Mus musculus: one gene and its partners. The protein of the gene in region 3 binds, or shares a complex with, the protein of the main gene of each other region. Links are inferred from orthologs where the notes say so. Each region holds a gene or a part of one and is shown on either strand. Other genes may lie near its edges.

Region 1 (3,648 bases), on a different chromosome or scaffold from region 3:
AAGAATTCACTACCAAAAGACCTTCAGATTACAGGGACTTCAACAGGACACTGTTGAAAATCTGAGTCTAAGAGAGAATGATAAGCCAAAAACAATGTAAGAAAATAGGACTTAAATAACAAAGTAAGTCCAGTGATGCACGGGCTGGAAGGAGGGCTGGGGGTGGGGGAGGCTGTACACTGCTCTTTCGGAGGAACTGAACCCGTTGTCACTCTAGCTCCTGGGAGCTAATGCCCTCTTCCAGTCTCTGAGGGACACTGCACCCATGTGCATATACCCACATATATGTTAAATATTTAAAAAACCCACCAAAACCAAAGAATTATAAAGAAACTGTGTAATTGGTAGGTTTAATAGAAATTAAAATTTAAGACAAAACAGCATATGACTTGAGCCATGAGCCATGTTCTCCTTTTCTTCCTTTTTACAGATAAATTCTGTCTTCCCTGTGCTGGGATTAAAGATGTGGCTACCCCACTCATCCAAGCCACATTTTCTTCATTCTAAAGACAGCAAAAGCACTGACCATGACGAGTAGAAACTGCACAACTGACCGACCTCTACAAAGGGAGAAACAAATCTATCAGACTTCATGATTCTGTTGCTTGTGACTTAGGAAACAACAGTCACTAAATTTAAATAATCAGGCCCCCAACTTTCCCCAAAGAACATGGTCCCTCAAAGTGTGCTTGACCTATCTAGAGAACACGGGCTCACTTACCTTCCGTGGTGGCGTGGACTTCCCAGAATCTAGGTCTAAATCCAGGTATTCGACTTGTTTGTCTCCTTTGGGTTTATTCATCGGGCTGCTTCCCCCATCAAGGCTGTTGCTGGCAAAGAGATTCTGAAAACAGAACAGCGAACAGTGGGCAGACACTCAGGAGATGCCCTCTTCTCCCACCCTCTCTTGTTCCCCCTGGGGGATGGGGAGGGTCACTACCTTGTTCAAAAATGGTCTTGAACTCCTGGGCTCTGAAGTTAAATTTAGTTAAACTAATACTCAGCCTGAGTGCTGTAGCCACTGGTAACTGTCCCTTACTCAAGTAAATAACTTTACTCATGTTTGCACAGGTAAGTAACCCTTCGCAGAAACAAACTGCGAGGCTCTGAAAGAAAATGGTCCCCCCATTGGCACATTGAGAGTGGCGCCATTAGGAGGTGAGGCCTTGTTGGAATGGGTGTGTCACTTGAGGTCTCTTTCAGGTCTCAGAAGCTCAAGTCTGCCTCCGGCTCAGACATTCACTTCTGTTGCCTGCCCTCTCAGAAGCAGAATGCTCAGCTCCTTCTCAGGCACCAGGCCTTCCTGGATGCTGCCATGCTTCCCACCAAGGTGATAATGGATTGAACCTCTGAACTATAAACCAGCCCCAATGGAATGTTTTCCTTTATATGAGTTGCCGTGGTCATGGTGTCTCTTCAGAGCAATAGAAACCCTAACCAAGATGCACACACACACACACACACACACACACACACACACACACACACACTCAGAATTATGTAAAGAGTAATAATAAAAAAAAGTCTTAGACATCAAGTCACAGACAGCTGCAAAAGCTCTCATTCTTAAAACCATGCAGGTCTGGGTGTGAAAGCGCACTTGTAATTCCGATATCCGGAAGCCGATGATGAAGGAGAATTACAAGTTCAAGACTGTCCTAGGCTGGTGCTGGAGCCACTGTCGCTGAGCCCAGGCCACGCTGCTGCTTGCCCATCACCCCCCATCGTGCTCTAGCGGTCTCAAAAGATTCAAAGTCCAAGATGGCAACCCTCAAAGACCAGCTGACTGTGGATCTTAAGGAAGAACAGGTCCCCCAGAACAAGATTAGAGTTGTTGGGGTTGGTGCTGTTGGCATGGCTTGTGCCATCCGTATCTTAATGAAGGACTTGGCGGATGTCATGGAAGACAAGCTAAAGGGAGAGATGATGGATCTCCAGCGTGGCAACCTCTTCCTTAAAACACCAAAAACGGTCTCCAGCAAAGACAACTGTGTGACTGCAAACTCCAAGCTGGTCATCACAGCAGGGGCCGTCAGCAAGAAGGAGAGAGCTGACTTAATCTGGTCCAGCGAAACGTGAACATCTTCAAGTTCATCCTTCCCAACATTGTCAAGTACAGTCCACACTGCACGCTGCTGATTGTCTCAAATCCTTTGGATATTTTGACCTAAGTGGCTCGGAAAATCAGTGGCTGTCTCAAAAGTCGAGTTATTGGAAGTGGTTGCCATCTGGGTTCAGTTCGGTTCCGTTACCTGATGGGAGAAAGGCTGGGGGTTCACCCTCTGAGCTGTCACAGCTGGGTCCTGGGAGAACATGGCAACTCCAGTGTCCCTGTGTGGAGTGGTGTGAACGTTGCTGGCGTCTCCCTGAAGTCTCTGAACCCAGAACTGGGCACTGATACAGACTGTTTTAAGGAGCAGTGGAAGGAGGCTCAAAAGCAGGTGGTGGACAGTGCATATACGACGATCAAGCTGAGAGGTTACACATCCTGGACCATTGGCCTCTCTGTGGCAGACTTGGCCAAGAGCATAACGAAGAACCTTAGGCGGGTGCATCCCATTTCCACCATGATTAAAGGTCTCTATGGAATCAATGATGACGTTTTCCTCAGTGTCCCAAGTATCTTGGGACAAAATGGAATCTCAGATGTTGTGAAGGTGACATTGACTCCTGAGGAAGAGACCCGCCTGAAGAAGAGTGCAGACACCCTCTGGGGAATCGAGAAGGAGCTGCAGTTCTAAAGTCTTCCCAGTGTCCTCGCACTTCACTGTCCAGGCTGCAGCAGGGATTCTATGGAGACCACACCCTTCTCATCTGAGCTGTGGTTAGTACAATGATGTTGAGGTGGTGTGGGGAAACATCTCAGTTCCCACAGCTCTGCCCTGCTGCCAAGTGGTACTTGTGTAGTGGTAACCTGGTTAGTGTGACAGTCCCACTGTCTCCGAGACACACTGCCAACTGTGCAGGCTTTGATTACCCTGCGAGCCTTCTGCATTGCTGCCCTGTGCACCCTCACCAAGCATGCCTAGGCCAACGAGTTCCCAGTTAGTCATAACCTGGCTCCAGTGTGTACGTCCATTATGTATAACTTTGCATAAATATTCTACAGGATATTTTATGTATTATATGTGTCTGTAGTGTGCACTGCAATATTATGTGAAATGTAAGATCTGCATATGGGTGATGGAACCAACCACTTAAATGTCATGCCAATGAAAACACCAAATAAACCTTGAACAGTGAAAAAGGACTGTCCTAGGTTAACAACTGCAACTTCATATCTCAAAACAAAGCAAAACAAAAGAAAACCATATATGTATGTACCCAGTTACATTATTATAGTGAAGGATCCTCATATTTCTTGCTTTCAAAGGGAGGGGAGGGGAAAGAATATGACATATATATATATATATATATATATATATATATATATATATATATATATATATGTATGTATGTATTTCTTTGGTTTTTTCGAGACAGGGTTTCTCTGTGTAGCCCTGGCTGTCCTGGAACTCACTCTGTAGACCAGGCTGGCCTCGAACTCAGAAATCCACCTGCCTCTGCCTCCCAAGTTTTGGGTTCAAACATGTGTGCCACCACTGCCCGGCCAAAACATATTGCATTAAAAATTTAATAAAGGGTCTG
Region 2 (3,648 bases), on a different chromosome or scaffold from region 3:
GGGCTCAGCATGTAGCAAGCCTATGATATCGGTTGCTGCTGCTGTTTTCAGACTGGTACACATTTCGGATTCTGCTCTACATAGAGCAGGTGAACGTGACTGTTAGTGCAATTTGCTGATTACACTTAAGTTCAATGCACTGAGAGCCATCTAACAGATGAAAATAACACTTTTGAAATACGGTCATTGCCCCTGATATAGCTGCCTCTTGTGAGGCTATGCCAGGGCCCAGCAAACACAGAAGTGGATGCTCACAGTCAGCTATTGGATGGAACACAGGGCCCCTAATGGAGGAGCTAGAGAGAGTACCCAGTGAGCTGAAGGGGTCTGCAACCCTATAGGTGGAACAACAATGTGAACTAGCCAGTACCCCCCAGAGCTCGTGTCTCTAGCTGCATATGTATCAGAGGATGGCTTAGTCGGCCATCATTGGAAAGAGAGGCCCATTGGTCTTGTGAACTTTATGTGCCTCAGTACAGGGGAACGCCGGGGCCAGGGGGTGGGAGTGGGTGGGTGGGGGAGTGTGGGGGAGGGTGTGGGGGACTTTTGGGATAGCGTTGGAGGTGTAGATGAAGAAAATAACCTAATTTTAAAAAATTAAAAAAAAATCTTCCAAGCTGGGGCTTGCACAATACTAATTCCAGCTTTCAGCAGACATGTCTCAGTGAGTTTGTGGCCATTTTGGTGAATATAGCAAGTTCCAGGACAATTCGTACATAGATTCGGTCTCTCTACTGTTCCCCAAATAAAATCCCAAGAAAATTCTAAGTCTAATATCTTTACTGGTGAATTCTGTCAAACATTTAAGTATGAATATAATATTAGGGGTTGTTTTTGATTAATTTATACTTTTGATTGGGTGTTTTCTTCATTTGCATTCAAATGCTATCCCAGGAGTCCCCCAGACTCTCCTCCCCCGCCCCCACTCCCCTGCCCACCCACTCCCACTTCTTGGCCCTGGTGTTCCCCTGTACTGAGGCATATAGGGTTTGCAGGACCAAGGGGCCTCTCTTCCCAATGATGGCCGACTGGGCCATCTTCTGATACATATGTAGCTAGAGACACGAGCTCCGGGGGTACTGGTTGGTTCATGTTGTTGTTCCACCTACAGGGTTGCAGACCCCTTTGGCTCCTTGGGAGCTTTCTCTAGCTCCTCCAATATTAGTTTTAAACAATTACTTGAGAAAGTGGAGGGAGCTGCCTCCTTTATTTATAATGAAGTATGTTTTGCCTTGATAGAAATATAAAAGGCCTATAAGAGAAGTAGAACCCTCATGAATAAAGATACAAGAATTCTTTTTTTAAAAAAAGAAAAAAAAAAGAAATACGGTCATTGCAAGCACAGACAACAGTCCATGCGCAATGTACTTCTGTATTTAGGCTGATTACACAACACCGAGGAAAATCCCAGATCTCACAACAAGCAGCTGCAAAGGGCAATAACTTCATGATTATTACGATGTTGACAGCCCAGTGGGTAACCAGGCCCTCAGATCATCGCAGTTGGCAGAATGACTTCCAACACTGATGTAAACAAAGCCAGTTCCTGGTTAGTACATGGATGGGCTCTGTTACTTTCTCACGGTTTTCAAAATGTATTGTGGAAATATGAAAAAGGAGGTGGGAGGGATGGTCAGCTGTTAGGAGCACTTGTTCATGCAGACAACCTTGGTTCAATACCGAGCACCTACCCACTGGCTCACAACCATCTGTCACTCCAGTTTCAGAGGATCTGATGACCTCTTCTGGCCTTCTCAAGTACCAGACACACATACATATGCACGCACACACACACACACACACACACACACACACACACACACACAGGAACACTGACATACAGGCAAGACTTCATCATGAAGGCAGGCAGGCAGGCAGACAGGCAGGCAGGCAAGGAAGGAAGGAAGGAAGAGAGGAAGGAAGAGAGAGAATAAGAAAGAAAGAAAGAAAGAAAGAAAGAAAGAAAGAAAGAAAGAAAGAAAGAAAGGAAGGAAGGAAGGAAGAAAGAAAGGAAGGAAGAGAGAGAGAGGAAGGAAGAGAGAGAATAAGAAAGAAAGAAAGAAAGAAAGAAAGAAAGAAAGAAAGAAAGAAAGAAAGAAAGGAGACAGGAAGGAGACAGGAAGGAAGGAAAAAAGGAGAGAAGGAAGAATGAGAAAGAGAGAAAGAGAGAGAGAAAGAGAGAAAGAAAGAGAGAAAAAAGAAGGAAGGAAGGAAGGGAGGGAGGAAGGAAGGAAGGAAGGAAGGAAGGAAGGAAGGAAGGAAGGAAGGAAGGAAGGAAGGAAGAGTCATAAAAGACTTGAATTCTAAAGCTGCAGGAACTAGCGGCCTGAAGAATCTCTTCATCATGAAGGAGTTGTGATTCTGAGATCCTGAAACTAAGTCCATCTAGGACAGTGCAATAAGAACGCTGAGCGGCAGGTGTGTGGACATTCTGCTGGAGTGTCCTGTGTTGCTGGTGGACTGAGGGAGAACAGGAAAGAGAGGAGCCCCAGAATCCTCCAGGTTGTGGGTTCGGTACCTCCTTTGGTGCAGGCCCCCAGCAGGTTGACCACGTTCAGGTGGGGTCCAAGATGACTCATAATCTTCAGCTCGGACATTAAGGCTTGCTTCTCGCTACTTCTGGCTGTCGCTGGAGGGGGGAGAGGGACTCAGCCTGGGTGGGCCACTGAGGTGGTATAGAGGCCCTGCCAGGGCCTACTCTGCTTCCTCTGCCCCATCCTGTCACACCACCAGTGTCCTAGGGTGGACTGTATTAGAGAGGGAAGAAGGTGGGAGGCGGGGAGAGAAGGAGGAAGAAGCACCCTTCGGTCCCACAACCTCAGGGCCAGGCTCCTTCAGAAGAAACAAAAAGCCCAGGGAAGGGAGGGACCGAGTGAGGCCTCGGGTGTGAAGAAGGGGCGGGTGGACTCACATTTCAGCATCTTGACAGCCACTTTCATGGTGGCCTGCGAATGGCTCAGACCGTGAGCTGTGGCCTCCACCACCTGTCCGAAAGCCCCAGAGCCAAGAGTGCGTCCTAGGATGCATAGAGACCCTCAGCTCCTGGAAGCTAAAGCTTCAAGCTTCATCCCATTTCCCATTTAGGTTGGGGAATATTCCCTTAGATCACCCTCCACATCCCTCCAACCGCCCTACTGTGCTCCCCTTGGGAAGTTTCCCATCCTCTGGGTCTCCTCTAGATCCTGCATGCTATCTGCCTCCCCTGTAGTCCCTGAAAGACCTCCTGTCTCTTAGGGACACGCACAACTCCTTTGCACCTGCCTCAGACTCCCTGGCCTACATCCAAAGGACTTCCTCTTTGACCTGAAGGGGTCCCATATCAGTCTTGGGATCCCTGAGTTTTGGTGCTATGGGGTCACCTTATCTTCACCATATAGAAAGGATAGTGAGATCCAGAGGATGCAAGATATCAGCTCTATGCCTTAGCTAGTAGCAACCATGATGGGAGCAAATCTGAGTGTGCCCACTGCTGCTTAACACCTCTTAGGACTGACCCAGAACAAGCTGGTCCCGTGGCAGCTCCCAGGTGGAGTCGTAAGGCAACTGCACAGGGTCCACGTAGATGTACTCATGACCGTCAGAGCTCACAGACTCAATGACCTTCCATCGGATCTCATAGCGTGGCTTCTGCAGGACAAGACCAATAAC
Region 3 (3,648 bases):
ACACAAAACTCTTAACAGTCCCAAGTAAAAGCTGATGGGTTCACAACCTGCTCCCTCCAGCCTCCTCTTAATAACAGCACCCTGCAGCAACTCAAGTAGTAGAATTCAGGCTCCTTTGAAAGCTCATCAGAGTGCACTTCGAAAGGTGAGATCCACCACCACCACCCCACCTCCCCAGCCCCAATCAGAGCACACCGTGGAACACGGGATGCTGCACTCATCATTCTCTAGGAAGCAGTTCTGACGTGCTCATAACAGTGTTCTGCAGGTGAGGCTCAAACTTTAGCTTCAGGGATTGAAACTATAATAGGAGTAAACTTCCGACAACCCAACCTGCAGTAGCCTTTCTTCCTTAGCCTCATGGACCCAACTCCAGTTTCAACGGGCAGTTTCTTAAGGCTGACTTCCCTGGAGAGCTGGGGACAATCTGAGATCTCATCTGCAGGACCCACCCCTCAATGCTCTGACAACCCCAACAATACAGATGGGAGCCTGACTGGTTCACCGCACACAAAGCCACTCACTTTTTCCTTTTATGCTATTATTGGTGTATAAAAGACAGGCTGAACTCATGTGTTATGAAGGGAAGGAAGCCATCTACAATTTGTTTTCCATGGCCACGGAGCAAAGGGTGAACCGGGGAGATGGCGGTGCATACTGGAATCCCAGCAGTTGGGAGGTAGAGATGAGGGACTAGCAGCTAGGCAGATCCTGGACAGGGAGGTAGATGGAGAAAGGAACACAGATAGACAGGGAGGATGGCAAGACCCCAGCTTCTTCCTCTCTTGAGAGTAAGGTCTGGCGGGCTTTGGTTTCCCACAGCAGGGCCAACTCCTGGCTGAAATGGTACAGACTATGTTCAAGGCAAACCTGAACATGTCTACCTGAAGCTGCAGTCTATCATCTCCTCTGCGCTACACTCAGAAGACTCAGAGCTGGGGGCTGCAAAGATGGCTCAGCATCTCCCCAGCTCCTCTTTCTCTCTTCACCCTCGTGTTGAAGACTATATTAAAATATCCTTTACTTTATAGTAATTAATACACTGGAGAACAGTATTTTATTGACAACCAAGTATGAACTACTGGCTATACACTTGTGGCAAAAGGCTCATCTTTATAGAAATATTCAATCTTGAGAAAAAGAGGAAGATAATATGAAGTGCTGCTAAGTGGGACAGCACAGGCTCTGCCTGCACAAGGTCCTGCACTGGATCCGCAGGACCAATCACTAAATAAATAATTTAAAGATGGCCACATGGCTCATTCTGCTCTCATCAGACCTTCACTGACACCTTTATCCCTGTCTCTCTCAACAGGAAACTTCGGAATGGTGTTCAAAGAGTCCACCCCAATGGCTCATATGAGACCAGACCCAAGTTCTAGTCCCTATGCATCACTGCAGAGCAAGCACCAAGAATGTTCTAGGATGGGCCCATCTCCAGGGCTGAGATTATCAACATCTGTGCTAAGGAGGGTGGACAATCTACTCGACCTCTCTGACCTCACACTCCTCTGTGGAATGGAACTAGCACCTCTCTCTGAAAGCTGTCTGGCACATGGTGGCACAAACAGCTGCTGAATCCTCAAGTCCTACACAAAGCATAGACTAACCAGTCCTGTGAAACAGAAAGGAGGGAAAGGGAGGGGAAAATGGAGGAGGGTGCGTGTTAGCTGCATTCCAAACTATCAAAGAATAAATTAAAAATATTCTCTAAAATGGGCATGGGATGGCAGAAGCAGGCAGATCTCTAAGCTGGAGGCCAACCTGGTCTACTGAGCAAGTTCCAGGCCAGCCAGGGCTACATAGAGAAGTCCTGTCTGGAAAAAACAAAACAAAATATAAACGCAGACAGTGCACAGACATTTGTAGGTTTGTGCTATGTGCAGGCATGAGTGACATAAGGTGAGTGACATAAGGTGAGTGACTGTGGAGGGAACAAGGACAGAAGATCTGTCTGTAAAGCTCTGGTCAAAGGAGCAAGGAGAGAAGACAGACAAACCAGAGGACACATGGGTCGGCAGCATATGAGCGCACAGGGCCACAGTCAGGCCCACACACGAGCAGGGCTCAAGACAGAGGTCAGCCCCTTCACTTCCCTGCTATGCTGTGAACTCACAGCCAGGCCCCTTCTCCTGGCCTCACACATGGCACTGAAGCTGCCTTTTGTCTGAAGCCCCTCAGATGCCAGAGAAATTCTATCCTTCTGCTTTCCTGGGGTCCTGCCAGTGGTCTGAACCAAAAAGTAAATGGAGCCGCTGGCACATCTGTCTGAGACAAGCTGCCAACCCTTCCCAGGAACACAATGCCCCTCTGCTTCAAAGAAGTCTCTCAGCAACCGGCCACACACACAGCAAAGGAAGCCAGGCCTCAGTGCAGCCCTCTCACCTGTTTAAACATCATCTAATAGCACACAGAAAAACAAGTTGTCAGTGACTTACCTCAAACTCTTCCCAAAAGCCCTGCTTGACTTTATCTGTGGTCTCAGCCAGCTTGCTTAACTCTCGAACCCGGCTTTCAATTTCAGCAGCATTGATACGAGTTGTGTTGAGGGGCTGTTGTGTTCAGCAGTGGTGGAAAAGGAGAAAGCATGTTTTAAACAGTATCAATGCAGAAAGAAAAAGACTTCACAGAAGCAAAGGCAGGAGGCACATCATCCCAAATTGGGAGGGGGGGGGGGTGTCACTGAAGCAGATCAGCAGATCAGCGCCCCTTCTTGTCTGTTTCTCAGATGTGTAGTAATCCCTGTGTGCTGAGTGTGCTCCTGCCATGGTAAATGTGCCATCACAGGCCCAAAGCAACAGGGTCACGTGGCTGTGGAATGACCCTTGAGCCCTTTCCCCTGTTAGCCAGTCCTCATGGATCCTGACCTGCTTGAGCTGCAGGACTGTGCCCAGCGTCTCCACCATGGGGTTCTTCTTGTAATGCTCCACCAGGTCTGTCAGAGAGTCAAAGCGCTCTCCCCCACCAACGTCGTATTTCAGCTCCTTTCAAAACCAAACAGATGGCGCCATTACCTCATGCTACATTCCTGTCTCCCTACCTGCCTGCAGCCACTGTGTTCTTAGTGACATGAACCTGTACATAGACACAAGCCACATGTCTGTCTAGAGAGCATGATGAGAATAAGACACACATGTATCATGTTAACATACCTCGTGTCCACGTCATCACAGTGGAGCCACACTTGGCCTTGACAAGAGAACCCTGTCATTGGTGGCAAGTGGATGAGGCAGGAGAGCCTCCCAGTAAAGCAAATGATCCAAGTGCGAAAGGAGCATACAGTGTCCCCTCATTTATATGTAGTATCCAAGGAAAAAAGTCCAAGACACTGTGACAAGAGGTCAAATGGTGACTATGAAGGACTTAGGGGCAGGGGAAGATCCACAGATGCTCTGGATGGTGAACAGGCTCAGGAGCCCCAGTCAGAAGCAACGACAACAGTGTTGCATACTCTGGAGATTGGCTGGGAGGGCATCTGAAGTAGTGTGCAGTGAGTGATGGGTGCACTGAACTGGCCAACTGCAGAAACCTGAACTGCAATCAACGGAAACCTAGAGACTGACTCCCAGAAACAGAAACCCCAACAGCACCGTACTCTGAAGGACAGGAAACAGCAGTGCTGAGGAGGCAGGGGCGGCAAGAGAGGAA

Evidence for each region.
Region 1: the proteins of Ptpn11 (region 3) and Gab1 are in contact, whole or in part, in a crystal structure (PDB 4QSY), measured with the Homo sapiens proteins. The link is inferred for Mus musculus from reciprocal best matches to the Homo sapiens genes PTPN11 and GAB1. Residues at the interface, in NP_002825.3 of Homo sapiens: Gly13, Val14, Glu17, Arg32, Pro33, Ser34, Lys35, Ser36, Thr42, Arg47, Thr52, His53, Ile54, Lys55, Leu65, Gly67, Gly68, Tyr81, Gln87, Leu88, Lys89, Glu90, Lys91, Ile96; in NP_002030.2 of Homo sapiens: Lys623, Val625, Glu626, Tyr627, Leu628, Asp629, Leu630, Asp631, Leu632, Asp633.
Region 2: the proteins of Ptpn11 (region 3) and Pdgfrb are in contact, whole or in part, in a crystal structure (PDB 1AYA), measured with the Mus musculus proteins. Residues at the interface, in NP_001103462.1 of Mus musculus: Gly13, Val14, Glu17, Arg32, Pro33, Ser34, Lys35, Ser36, Thr42, Thr52, His53, Ile54, Lys55, Leu65, Gly68, Gln87, Leu88, Lys89, Glu90, Lys91, Gly93, Ile96; in NP_032835.2 of Mus musculus: Ser1005, Val1006, Leu1007, Tyr1008, Thr1009, Ala1010, Val1011, Gln1012, Pro1013.

What each region holds. Positions count from the first base shown.
Region 1 is NC_000074.6:80,768,930-80,772,577, forward strand, and holds part of Gab1 (GRB2-associated-binding protein 1), read right to left. Parts: intron 3,248-3,648; exon of another isoform or gene 1,667-3,247; intron 845-1,666; coding exon 722-844; intron 1-721. UniProt on the Homo sapiens protein: Adapter protein that plays a role in intracellular signaling cascades triggered by activated receptor-type kinases. Plays a role in FGFR1 signaling. Probably involved in signaling by the epidermal growth factor receptor (EGFR) and the insulin receptor (INSR).
Region 2 is NC_000084.6:61,072,609-61,076,256, reverse strand, and holds part of Pdgfrb (platelet-derived growth factor receptor beta isoform 2 precursor), read right to left. Parts: exon of another isoform or gene 3,634-3,648; intron 3,628-3,633; coding exon 3,495-3,627; intron 3,017-3,494; coding exon 2,912-3,016; intron 2,630-2,911; coding exon 2,519-2,629; intron 1-2,518. UniProt on the Homo sapiens protein: Tyrosine-protein kinase that acts as a cell-surface receptor for homodimeric PDGFB and PDGFD and for heterodimers formed by PDGFA and PDGFB, and plays an essential role in the regulation of embryonic development, cell proliferation, survival, differentiation, chemotaxis and migration.
Region 3 is NC_000071.6:121,160,271-121,163,918, forward strand, and holds part of Ptpn11 (tyrosine-protein phosphatase non-receptor type 11), read right to left. Parts: intron 2,985-3,648; coding exon 2,868-2,984; intron 2,553-2,867; coding exon 2,439-2,552; intron 1-2,438. UniProt on the Homo sapiens protein: Acts downstream of various receptor and cytoplasmic protein tyrosine kinases to participate in the signal transduction from the cell surface to the nucleus. Positively regulates MAPK signal transduction pathway. Dephosphorylates GAB1, ARHGAP35 and EGFR.